Macaca fascicularis: one gene and its partners. The protein of the gene in region 1 purifies or fractionates together with the protein of each later gene. This does not show direct contact. Links are inferred from orthologs where the notes say so. Each region holds a gene or a part of one and is shown in the gene's direction. Other genes may lie near its edges.

Region 1 (3,746 bases):
ACTATTGGACATCCTCAATTTCTTTGCCTATAAACAATGGCTAAGGATGCCTCTCTAATTCCTTGGAACAGGGAGGAGTTACAATCACAGGTGGCTTTGAAACGGGTGAAATCTCCGTCATTTCCTAACTGTTCTTTAAAAGCTTGTACTTTTCTTTCAATTTTCAGCTTTGGGGGCTCACACTGACGCTCAGACTTCATAAACTTCCTTCCTAGATATACAACATGCTAATTCATGCGAATCGCTCAAGCTTGTTTTAAAATCACACCTATGGATACCTTTGCAAGACTTCACGCCTGTACTCCAACAACAACTACTAAAACCTCTGGAAACAATCTAGAACTTGCACTTGAGCAGACAAGAGAAAGGAAGTGATGGCTTTAAAGGGACGCAGCTTTCCCGGGCTCAAAAGAGGCGCCCTAGCTCACTCTTGAGCGGCTCAAGATGTTACCAGAAGCTCCCGCCAGATGTGCACGGCGGAGGTGCGGGCACCGGTAAGGCAGAGAAGACGGGTGGACGGCCCTGGGAAGAACTGGGGTGCCCAAGCCTGCAGGCGAGATGGAGTGGAAAGAGGTGAGGCAAAATTAGGCAGGTACAGGAAGGAGCCAGTGCAGCGAAGAAAACAGGGCAGGCGAGTACAGCCCTAGAGGAACCGACGAATTCGGGACTCGGAGGGTTTCCGAGGGTCCAGTTCTCTCACCAGAAAGCCGCGTTCAGCCCCAGGCACCACAGGGCGCTCCTGGCTGGCCGCTCCCACACCAGGGCTGCCTGCACCCGACTCAGCAGAGGCTCGTAAGGCCCCAGCACCTCGACCAGGGCCCGCTGCGCCGCCTCAACCTGCTGGTCCCGCTCCCAGGAGCCTGACACATCTCGGCGGCCCCTGAAAGTCGACCCCGAAGCCGGGCCTGGGGTCGCCGCCACCCCTTCGGCCTCCGCCATCTCCCCCCGGCAGCCACAACATCCGGGGCCGTGGCCCGACAGTCACAATAACAGCAACTGCGCAGATGCGCGATTCGGCGTGGGAGGCCGCTTCGCACCACAGCGCGCTTGCGCGCAGGCCCAAGCGGGCGTCTACCCAGAGGGGAGGGAGGACGCCGAGTCAAAGTACCCCGCCATCGTTGAGGCGCGGAACCTGATCTGTCGGCTCAGAGCCCGATCAGAAGCCGCGCACGCGCAATCTGCATGAATGAAGGCCAGTGCTTAAAGACATGCCATTCATTGCCAGAACTCGGTTCTCATTGGAGCGGATGAAGGTCGTGGGTGGAGCTTGTTGTTTCGCGCCTGCGTCTTGCGGCGAGCGGGCTGGCGTGCGGCGGCGTTGCGGGCGGGAGCGGCTGCAACGCCGGTGCCTGAGGAGCGATGCCGAGGGAAATCATCACCCTACAGTTGGGCCAGTGCGGCAATCAGAGTGAGCGAAACTCCGGCCCCTCAGCTAGCCAGGTTCCTTAGGGTCAATGTGATCTCGCTGTAGGATCCTGGACTCCATCTGTCCTTGCCAGAATCGTAGTTCTCTGAAAGGCGAGACATCCCTGACCCAGTGTCCACTTGCCCAGCCCCGAGGGGCCCTCCCCTGCCCTGTCCCTGGCGTACAGTCCTTTCCTCAGACACGGGAGAGTCCTACGGCTTGACTTCTTATTCCTGGACGCAGGCGCCCAGTCCCTCCGCTCCTGACTGGAACCTGCCCGGAACTAGATATCTTCTTTCTCCCCTGCCTGCCCCTTCCCCCCCAGTTGGGTTCGAGTTCTGGAAACAGCTGTGCGCTGAGCATGGTATCAGCCCCGAGGGCATCGTGGAGGAGTTCGCCACCGAAGGCACTGACCGCAAGGACGTCTTTTTCTACCAGGTGCCCCCAGCGACTTGGCCAAGGGCGGCAATGGCCCGAGGGGCCAGAAGGGAAGGGAGTGGCCTGGTACTGGGAACCCTGCTGGGCAGTGGGGCCAGGCGGCTGGCTTGAGGAGGGAGGGCTGGAGGGAGCCAGAGTTGGGAGGACTTAGGACTTGGGCCACCCTAGCTGATTGGGCCCCCTCCTGGACTCCCCTTGACAGGCAGACGATGAGCACTACATCCCCCGGGCCGTGCTGCTGGACCTGGAGCCCCGGGTGATCCACTCCATCCTCAACTCCCCCTATGCCAAGCTCTACAACCCAGAGAACATCTACCTGTCGGAGCATGGAGGAGGAGCTGGCAACAACTGGGCCAGTGGATTCTCCCAGGTCGTTTCCTATTCCCTGACAGGGCCCACAACTCCCTGGGTAGGGACAGGCCCTATGACGTCCCAGGGAGAGAGGAAACCAGATCAGGGATGTATGAATGCTGGAGGGAGAGACGTGGCTGCAGGGAGTGGACCATGTAATATTGTCAAGCGCCTATGCTAGCTAATGCAGTGTGCCAGGCCATTCTAAGTGCTTTACATATATTAATTTTTCTAAATCTCCCAACCACCCTAGAAGTAAGTACTACAGGTCCACAGTCCCTTATGTGCCTTTCCAGGATCCAGAAAGCCATGAAACCAAAGGACATTTCATAACTAGTTCAGCAGCAAAAACAAATCTCAATGAAGACAGGCGGTTTCTTTTTTATTTATTTATTATTATCATTTTTTGAGACGGAGTCTCACTCTGTTGCCCAGGCTGGAGTGCAGTAGCATGATCTTGGCTCACTGCAACCTCTGCCACCGGGGTTCAAGCGATTCTCCTGCCTCAGCCTCTCGAGTAACTGGGATTACAGGCGCTTGCCATCATGCCTGGCTAATTTTTGTATTTTTAGTAGAGATGGGGTTTCACCGTGTTAGCCAGGATGGTCTTGATCTCCTGACCTCGTGATCCGCCTGCCTCGGCCTCCCAAAGTGCTGGGATTACAGGCCTCAGCCACCGCACCGGCCCCATACTTTCTATCCAACTTATTGTCATTACTGATGCCTTTTATTACAGAAATACTAATATGTGTGATTAACGTGCTTCTGACTCCCACTGGAATTTTATTTAATATATATTATATATACTGTAATAACTTTCTAAAATCTGAAATATTTTGAATTCCAAAATATAACTGGCCCCAACACTGTTAGATAAGGGTATATGGACCTGTATTATTACCTTCATTGTACAGATGAGGAAACTGAGGCATAGAGCAATTAAATAAGCTGCCCAGAGCTACATAGAAGTAGAGTTAATGGGCCGGGCACAGTGGTTCATGCCTGTAATCCTAGCACTTTGGGAAGCCAAGGCGGGCAGATCACCTGAGGTTAGGAGTTCAAGACCAGCCTAGCCAACATAGTGAAACTCTGATTCTACTAAAAATACAGAAAATAGCACGTGTCTGTAATCCCAGCTCCTGGGGAGACTGAGGCAGGAGAATCACTTGAACCCGGGAGGTGGAGGTTGCTGTGAGCCAAGATCAGGTCACTGCACTCCAGTCTGGGAGACAGAGAGAGACTCCATCTCAAAAAAAAAAAAAAAAAAAAAAAAAATAGAGCTAATGTATGAACCCAGGTAGTCTGGGTGTAGAGTGCTTTCTTGTAACCACTGCACCGTACCGCCTCTCAATGTAGATAAAAAGCAGGCAGCTGTACTCCATAAAAGGACTCCTGGGTGCTATAAGGAGAATTGAGGGTGGCTTTTCTGAGGTCGGAGTCCTCCCGTGGTTCTGTCCCACTCTGACCCTCCCCTATGTCTGTACAGGGAGAAAAGATCCACGAGGACATTTTTGACATCATAGACCGGGAGGCAGATGGTAGTGATAGTCTA
Region 2 (3,646 bases), on another chromosome or scaffold:
TATTTTTTAGTGGAGACGGGGTTTCACCGTGTTAGCCAGGATGGTCTCGATCTCCTGACCTCGTGATCCACCCGTCTCGGCCTCCCAAAGTGCTGGGATTACAGGCTTGAGCCACCGCGCCCGGCCTTTTTTTCTTTTTTTTTTGAGATGGAGTCTCACTCTGTCACCTAGGCTGGAGTGCAATGTCATAATCTTGGCTCACTGCAGCCTCCACCTCCGTGGTTCATGCGATTCTCCTGCCTCAGCCTCCCAAGTAGCTGGGAATACAGGCACTTGCCATCATGCCCGGCTAATTTTTGTATTTTTAGTAGAGACAGGGTTTCACCATGTTGGCCAGGCTGGTCACAAACTCCTGACCTCAGGTAATCCATCTGCCTTGGCCTCCCAAAGTGCTAGGATTACAGACGTCAGCCACCACACCCAGCCTTAATTGTGCACATTTTTAAATTTTAACTTTTTCTTTTTTTGAAACAAAATCTTGCTCTATTGCCCAGGCTGGAGTGCAGTAGCGTGATCACGGCTCACTGCAGCCTTGACCTTCTAGGCTCAATGAGCTTCCCAACCCAGCTTCCCAAGTAGCTACAGGCAAATGCCACCATACCTGGCTAATTGAATTTTTTTTGTAGAGACAGGGTTTTGCTATGTTGCTCAGGCTGGCCTAAAAACTTCAGGGCTCAAGTGATCCACTCACCCTAGCCTCCCAAAGTGCTGGGATTACAGGTGTGAGCCACCGCATCCAACCCTGAATATTCTTTCAAATGTAAGTTTTTGTGTGTTTTGTTTTTAGTTCCAGCAGTTTGACTAGATCCTAAGGTATTAAGGTACTAATAAACAAGTCAGTTTTTCTTTTGTGCATTTTTATTTTATTGCCTTTAGGGAAATTTTTTTTTAGAAAGATCAAGAGAAGGCCAGGTGCAGTAGCTCACGCCTGTAATCCCAGCACTTTGGGAGACCAAGGCAGACAGATCACCTGGTTCGAGACCAGCCTGGCCAACCAACATAGTAGAACCCATCTCTACTAAAAGTACAAAAGTTAGCTGGGTGTGGTGGTGCATGCCTGTAATCCCAGCTACTTGGGAGGCTAAGGCGGGAAAATCGCTTGAACCTGGGAGGCAGAGGTTGCAGTGTGCAGAGACTGCGCCACCGCACTCCGGCCAGGGTGACAGAGCGAGACTCCTCAAAAAAAAAAACTAAAAAGATAAAGAGAGTAAGTAAGCCCTGGAATCATTCTTTCATCATTTTATTTGTTGAGACAGGGTCTCACTCTGTCACCCAGTGCAGTGGTGCAGTCAAGGCTTATTGCACTGTCAACCTCCCAAGCTCAAGTGGTTCTCTTAACTTCAGCCTCCTGAGTAGCTGGGACCGCAGGCTCGTACAACCACACTAAGCTAAATTTTAATTTTTTTTGTAAAGACAGGGTCTCACTATGTTGCCCAGGCTGATCTTGAATTTCTGGGATTACAGGTATAAGCCACCATGCCCAGCCTGGTCTTTTAAAAAATGGACAGCAAGGATGTTTTCTGTATGAATTGCCCTGTCTTACACAAAGTGTAAAATTTGGAATAGTATGAATGGCCAAATGTCATATCTTTTGGGAGAGTCTGATTTAGGAGAGTATTTTTTGGAAGAATAATGAAGTTACTTGCCTTGTTATCCAGATACTTTTAAATATTACTGTGGTGCTTATATCTTTTTCAGCAGGGGAAATGCTATCTGTAGCTGAGCACTTCCTGGAGCAGCAGATGCACCCAACAGTGGTGATCAGTGCTTACCGCAAGGCATTGGATGATATGATCAGCACCCTAAAGAAAATCAGGTATCTTGGGGGCAAGAAATAGGTAGTATCAAATATGATACTGGCCAGAATTGGTGGCTCATGCCTGTCATCCCAGCACTTTGGGAGGCCTACGTGGGTGGATCATGAGGTCAGGAGATCGAAACCTTCCTGGCCAACATGGTGAAACCTTATCTGTACTAAAAATACAAAAAATTAGTTGGGCATGGTAGCACATGTCTGTAGTCCCAGCTACTCGGGAAGCTGAGGCAGGAGAATCTCCAGAACCCAGGAGTCAGAGGTTGCAGTGAGCTGAGAGAACCCCATTGTACTCCAGCCTGGTAACAGAGCAAGACTCTGTCTCAAAAAAAAAAAAATTAGCCGGGTATGGGTGGCGCACACCTGTAACCCCAGCTATTCGGGAGGATAGGCAGGAAAATTGCTTGAACCCAGGAGGCGGAGGTTGCAGTGAGCCAAGATCTCTCCATTGCACTCCAGCCGAGGCAATAATAGTGAAACTCCATCTCAGAAGAAAAAAAAAAGCATATATTACCTCTAGCTTCAGAGAATTTTAGTTAAGGTTTAACATCGTGTGGAGTCATGTAGAGCAGGTCTTGAATAAACATTTTTGTTTAAAAAGTAAAACTTGGCAGGGCCCGGTGGCTCGTGCCTGTCTGTAATCCCAGCACTTTGGCCAAGGTGGGCGGATCACGAGGTCGGGAGTTAGAGACCAACCTGGCCAACATGGTGAAACTTCGTCTCTACTAAAAGTGGAGAAAATTAGCTGGACATAGTGGTAGGTGCCTGTAATCCCAGCTACTCAGGAGGCTAAGGCAGGAGAATTGCTTGGACCCAGGAGGTTGCAGTGAGCTGAGATTGTGCCACTGCACTCCAGCCCAGGCGACAGAGTGAGACTGTCTCAAGAAAATAAAAAGTAAGACCTGGACTGGGCGCGGTGGCTCATGCCTGTAATCTTAGCACTTTGGGAGACCAAGGTGGGTGGATCACCTGAGGTCAGGATTTCGAGACCAGCCTGGCCAACATGGTGAAACCTCATTTCTACTAAAAATGCAAAAATTAGCCAGGCGTGGTTGCATGCGCCTGTAATCCCAGCTACTCAGGAGGCTGAAGCAGGAGAATCACTTGAACCCGGGAGGCGGAGGTTGTGGTGAGCCAAGATCACGCCATTGCACTCCAGCCTGGGCAAACAGCAAAACTCTGTCTCAAAAAAAAATAAAAATCGATAATGTATTCTTTTTTCCATGCCTGACTGGAAATAGTTTGTTTGTTTTTTTCTTTTCTTTATTTAAATGTTCTACTCATATGGTTGAGTCACTAGATGCATAAGTATTTAGTAATTTGGTGAGGTTTATATTATACTGTCTGCGCTTTTTTTTTTTTTTTTTCCTAAGATGGAGTTTTTGCTCTTGTTACCTAGTCTGGAGTGCAATGGCGCGATCTCAGCTCACCACAACTTCCGCCTCCCGGGTTCAAGCGATTTTCCTGTCTCAGCCTCTTAAGTAGCTGGGATTACAGGCATGCACCTCCACGTCCAGCTAATTTTGTATTTCTGGTAGAGACGGGGTTTCTCCATGCTGGTCAGGCTGGTCTCGAACTCCCGACCTCAGGTGATCCACCTGTCTTGACCTCCCAAAGTGCTGGGATTACAGGCGTGAGCCACCGTGCCCAGCCATATACTGCCTGCTCTTAAACAAGTTGTATACTAATATCTTTGTCTGGCACACTTAAGGAATGAAGTGTTTAATTATTTTTATGCAGTAAGCTCTGTGAGAATGTAGAGGTACCTAGAGATTTTATTGTGTGGAGCTGCACCCTTAGAAAGCTTTTTTTTTTTTTGAGATGGAGTTTCAC
Region 3 (3,746 bases), about 22 Mb from region 1:
TTTTTGAGACGGAGTCTCACGCTGTTGCCCAGGCTGGAGTGCAGTGGCGCGATCTTGGCTCACTGCAAGCTCCGCCTCCTGGGTTCACGCCATTCTCCTGCCTCAGCCTCCTGAGTAGCTGGGACTACAGGCGCCCGCCACCGCGCCCGGCTAATTTTTTGTATTTTTAGTAGAGACGGGGTTTCACTGTGGTCTCGATCTCCTGACCTTGTGATCCGCCCGCCTCGGCCTCCCAAAGTGCTGGGATTATAGGCTTGAGGGCATCTGAGTTTTAAAACATTTCCCAGCACTTCTCAGAGGTGCCTTCCTGTCCTCGGCACTCCTGTGCTTCCCTGGCCACTCGGGCAGAAGTCATTAGCGCTGCTGAGAAGGGATGAAGCTGGGGTTTCTGTGCACCGAGGCCCTTAATCCGGATGAGATTTTTTAAACTCCCCACAGCCTGCTATGCCAGTTCTATTTCCAGCTGCATCTGCCCCTGGGTCTTCACAGCTCCTCTGGAGGGGATTAGGCAAACCATGCAGCTGCCTATAACCTCACATCTTGAGGGAAATAGTCATTGAATCTCTGACCTCTGGGCTGGCTGTCTCGGACTCTGAGCTGCCAGGGAACCAGGACTTTCCACCCGGTGGGACTGCCTGGGGGCTTTTGAAATGCCCCTGCCTGTCCCCCACTCCCGGAGATGGTGACTTCCTGGGTCTGGGCATTAGGAGTTTGTAAAACTCCCCGATGATTCTTCTGTCCAGTCCAGGCTGAGAACCACTGGTCAGAGGCCTGGGCACATCCCAAGGCTTGTCCAGAATCACGGAGTGCAAGTGACAGAAACAAAAGAGGCTGCTGATTGCCTCACTGAGCAGGTGAAGCCCAGGCTTGACCACTGATTAGGCCAGTTGGACCCAGGAGTTCAGGCCGGAGGATGCCTGCTTCCCTCTGCTCTGTCCCATGGGCCCCAGCAGCCTGGGCCCACATCCTCTCAGTCGGAAGCCGGCTCTCACCAGCTGGCTGGGCTCACAGCCCCACCCTGAAACCAGTAGTGTGGCCCGGGGGGCCCCGCAGGGCTCAGACACCCAGGCCTTGGGTGGTTGAAGGCCAAGAGCTGGGGGCCGTCTGGGAACCACACAGCCTGGAGTGGGAGGGGGTGCTCCTCAAGGGACAATTGAGGCGCTGGCTTTCAGTGGGAGGAAAGGGAATGGCTATGAGCTGGACAGAGCCATTATGTCACCAAGAGAGGCTCTGTGCCCCGGCACCAGGTGCAGACTGTCTGGGCCCAGAGCCTCTGCTGCTTCCCCTCCCGTCCCCCAAACACCAGCCCCTGGCCAGCCTGGCGGCGTTTCCGACTGAGTGTGGCTGTCAGTCCTCTTGCGGGCCTTGCTCCAGCCAGACTCCCGCCTTGGGCCTCTGCCAGCCCGGCACTGATACCCACGGGCAGAGCTGAGACGAAGGAGAGGGCCCCTGGGGAGTATCCGCAGCAGCCAATCCCAGAAGACATCGATGTCAGGTGGTTTCTAGAAATCGAAAGTAGACTTTTCTGAAGCATTTCCTGGGATCAGCCTGACCACACTCCACCCTGGGAGAGGCTTCTGGGTCAAAGGAACAGTCTGCAGAGGGCTCTTGTGGCTGGAAGTGACGGGGCTGCAGCACAGCCATCGCAGCTGCCCCAGCCAGGTAAGCTGCTGCCTCCAGCTCCCAGGTGGGCACCTCTCTCTCTCTCTCTCTCTGTTTTGTTTTTTTTGTTTTTTTTGTTTGTTTGTTTGTTTTTTGTGACAGGGTCTCACTCTGTCACTCAGGCTGGAGTACAGTGATGCTATCTCAGCTCACTGCAGCCTCCGCCTCCCGGGTTCAAACGATTCTCCTGCCTCAGCCTCCCAAGTAGCTGGGATTACAGGCACGCACCACCACGTCCAGCTAATTTTTGTATTTTTAGTAGAGACAGGGTTTCGCCATGTTGGCCAGCCTGGTCTCAAACTCCTGACCTCTGGTGATCTACCCGCCTCGGCCTCCCAAAGTGCTGGGATGACAGGCGTGAGCCATCGCGCCCGGCCAGGGCACCCCTCTCTCTACACAGGCAAGTGGGGGTCATGCCTCCCTGTTTGCACATAGGCCTGGAGCTGGGGATCCAGGGCTCCTGAGCCCAGCAACAGTCATTGCTGCTCCCAGGCCCACAGGACCTCTGTGTGCAGTTGGGCAGGTGGCACGAGGATACCAGCCAGAGGGCGAGTGGGTTAGAATCCAGGTTGGCCTCTCTCGGGCCTGTGCATTTGGCCTAGGCCTGCACCCACTCCTAGGAAGAGCACCTTTTTTTCTGATTTGCATGAAGGGGGCAACACAGGCAGCCGGGTCTCAACTCCCCGTATGAAGGAATCAGGCAAAAGTCCCAGCCGCTGCCACCCAGAGGGCGGAACGCCACCTGCCAGGTGCTTCGTTGCCCACTTTTTTTTTTGAGACGGAGTCTTGCTCTGTCACCCAGGCTGTAGTGCAATGGCTCACTGCAACCTCTGCCTGCCAGATTCAAGCAATTCTGTTGCCTCAGCCTCCTGAGTAGCTGGGACTACAGATGCGCACCACCACGCCCAACTTCTTCTCCTTCTTCTCCTTCCCCTTCTCCTTCTTCTTTTGTATTTTTAGTAGAGGTGGGGTTTCACCATGTTGGCCAGGCTGGTCTCGAACTCCTGACCTCAAATGATACACCTGCCCCAGCCTCCCAAAGTTCTAGGATTACAGGCGTGAGCCATCGCGCCTGGCCACTTGGCCATTTTTCCAAGGCCCTGAGTTACTCTCCCAGGACGGACAAACCTGGTGGCTGCAGCGGAGTGAAGTGGCTGGGTACAGAAGTGGAGAGGGCGTCCACCCATACCGGCGTGCCTGGGACTGAGGGTTTCCCAGGACACAGGGAAACTTCAGTGCTAAAACAAGCACAGTCCCCAGCACACAGGACAGGCAGTCACACCCTGGTGTCTTTAGCCATCTACTGACATTGACGCAGGGAGGAGAGGTGGGCTCCACCGAGCAGACCCCCTGCCTATGGCTGTGGACGTGGAGCCCATTTACCTCTCTGGGTGTCAGCTTCTTCACTTGTAAGGTGGGGTGTAACTAAGGTGGTTCTCAAGGTCACGGTAAGGCCTCCAGTGGTACCTGGGGAGCCCTGATAAGGGGTGGCTGCGCAGTGCCAGTGAGCGTGAGTCCCAGAGCAAAGCTCTCACCAGCCAGGGCACCCAGCTCCCAGGGTGCTTGTTCATGCAGACTCCCATGCAGAGGGGCTAGGGCGAGGCCAGCCATGACAGCACTTCCAACAAGCTCTGGCGATGCCATTGCAGCCGTCCACCAGGCCCCCTCTGAGCAGCCTCAAGGTCACCAGGCCCAGACTCCCAGCCGGTGCCCACAGCAGTGCCACCCAGAGGCCTGCCCCTGGCTTGCTGAACTGAGGGGACAGTGTCACAGGATTCTTACCGAGCCAGAGAAGCCATACCTGTCTCTCCATTGGCGGGGTGTGGGGGAGGGAGGCAGGCGAAGACAAAAGCGTGGAAATTACACGGAGGCAAGAACACCAGGCCAGAAGGCGGAGACCCGGACCTCCCCAACCGCAGCCTGAGTGTCAGTGTCTTGGGGATACTTCAGCATTTCCTCCCCGTTCTTCCCCCAGCATGGCCCACCCTGGGCTGCAGCCCTGACCCTTTTCCCCTATCTTCCCCATCCGAACACCATGGAGCCCCGATGTGTCTCCTTGCTGCTTATCTGTCACCCCGGCCCAG

Evidence for each region.
Region 2: the proteins of TUBG1 (region 1) and CCT3 purify together in Homo sapiens (affinity purification with mass spectrometry; 3 studies listed by BioGRID and IntAct, with this or other methods). This does not show direct contact. The link is inferred for Macaca fascicularis from reciprocal best matches to the Homo sapiens genes TUBG1 and CCT3.
Region 3: the proteins of TUBG1 (region 1) and LGALS3BP purify together in Homo sapiens (affinity purification with mass spectrometry; 3 studies listed by BioGRID and IntAct, counting the BioPlex papers as one, with this or other methods). This does not show direct contact. The link is inferred for Macaca fascicularis from reciprocal best matches to the Homo sapiens genes TUBG1 and LGALS3BP.

The regions. Positions count from the first base shown.
Region 1 is NC_088390.1:63,667,295-63,671,040, forward strand, and holds the start of TUBG1 (tubulin gamma-1 chain), read left to right. Parts: upstream 1-1,304; 5' UTR 1,305-1,359; coding exon 1,360-1,408; intron 1,409-1,730; coding exon 1,731-1,843; intron 1,844-2,045; coding exon 2,046-2,213; intron 2,214-3,680; coding exon 3,681-3,746. Other genes in the region: RETREG3 (reticulophagy regulator 3), read right to left, coding at 701-939. UniProt on the Homo sapiens protein: Tubulin is the major constituent of microtubules, protein filaments consisting of alpha- and beta-tubulin heterodimers. Gamma-tubulin is a key component of the gamma-tubulin ring complex (gTuRC) which mediates microtubule nucleation.
Region 2 is NC_088375.1:104,748,252-104,751,897, forward strand, and holds part of CCT3 (T-complex protein 1 subunit gamma), read left to right. Parts: intron 1-1,698; coding exon 1,699-1,816; intron 1,817-3,646. UniProt on the Homo sapiens protein: Component of the chaperonin-containing T-complex (TRiC), a molecular chaperone complex that assists the folding of actin, tubulin and other proteins upon ATP hydrolysis.
Region 3 is NC_088390.1:85,383,757-85,387,502, reverse strand, and holds the start of LGALS3BP (galectin-3-binding protein), read left to right. Parts: upstream 1-1,529; 5' UTR 1,530-1,687; intron 1,688-3,746.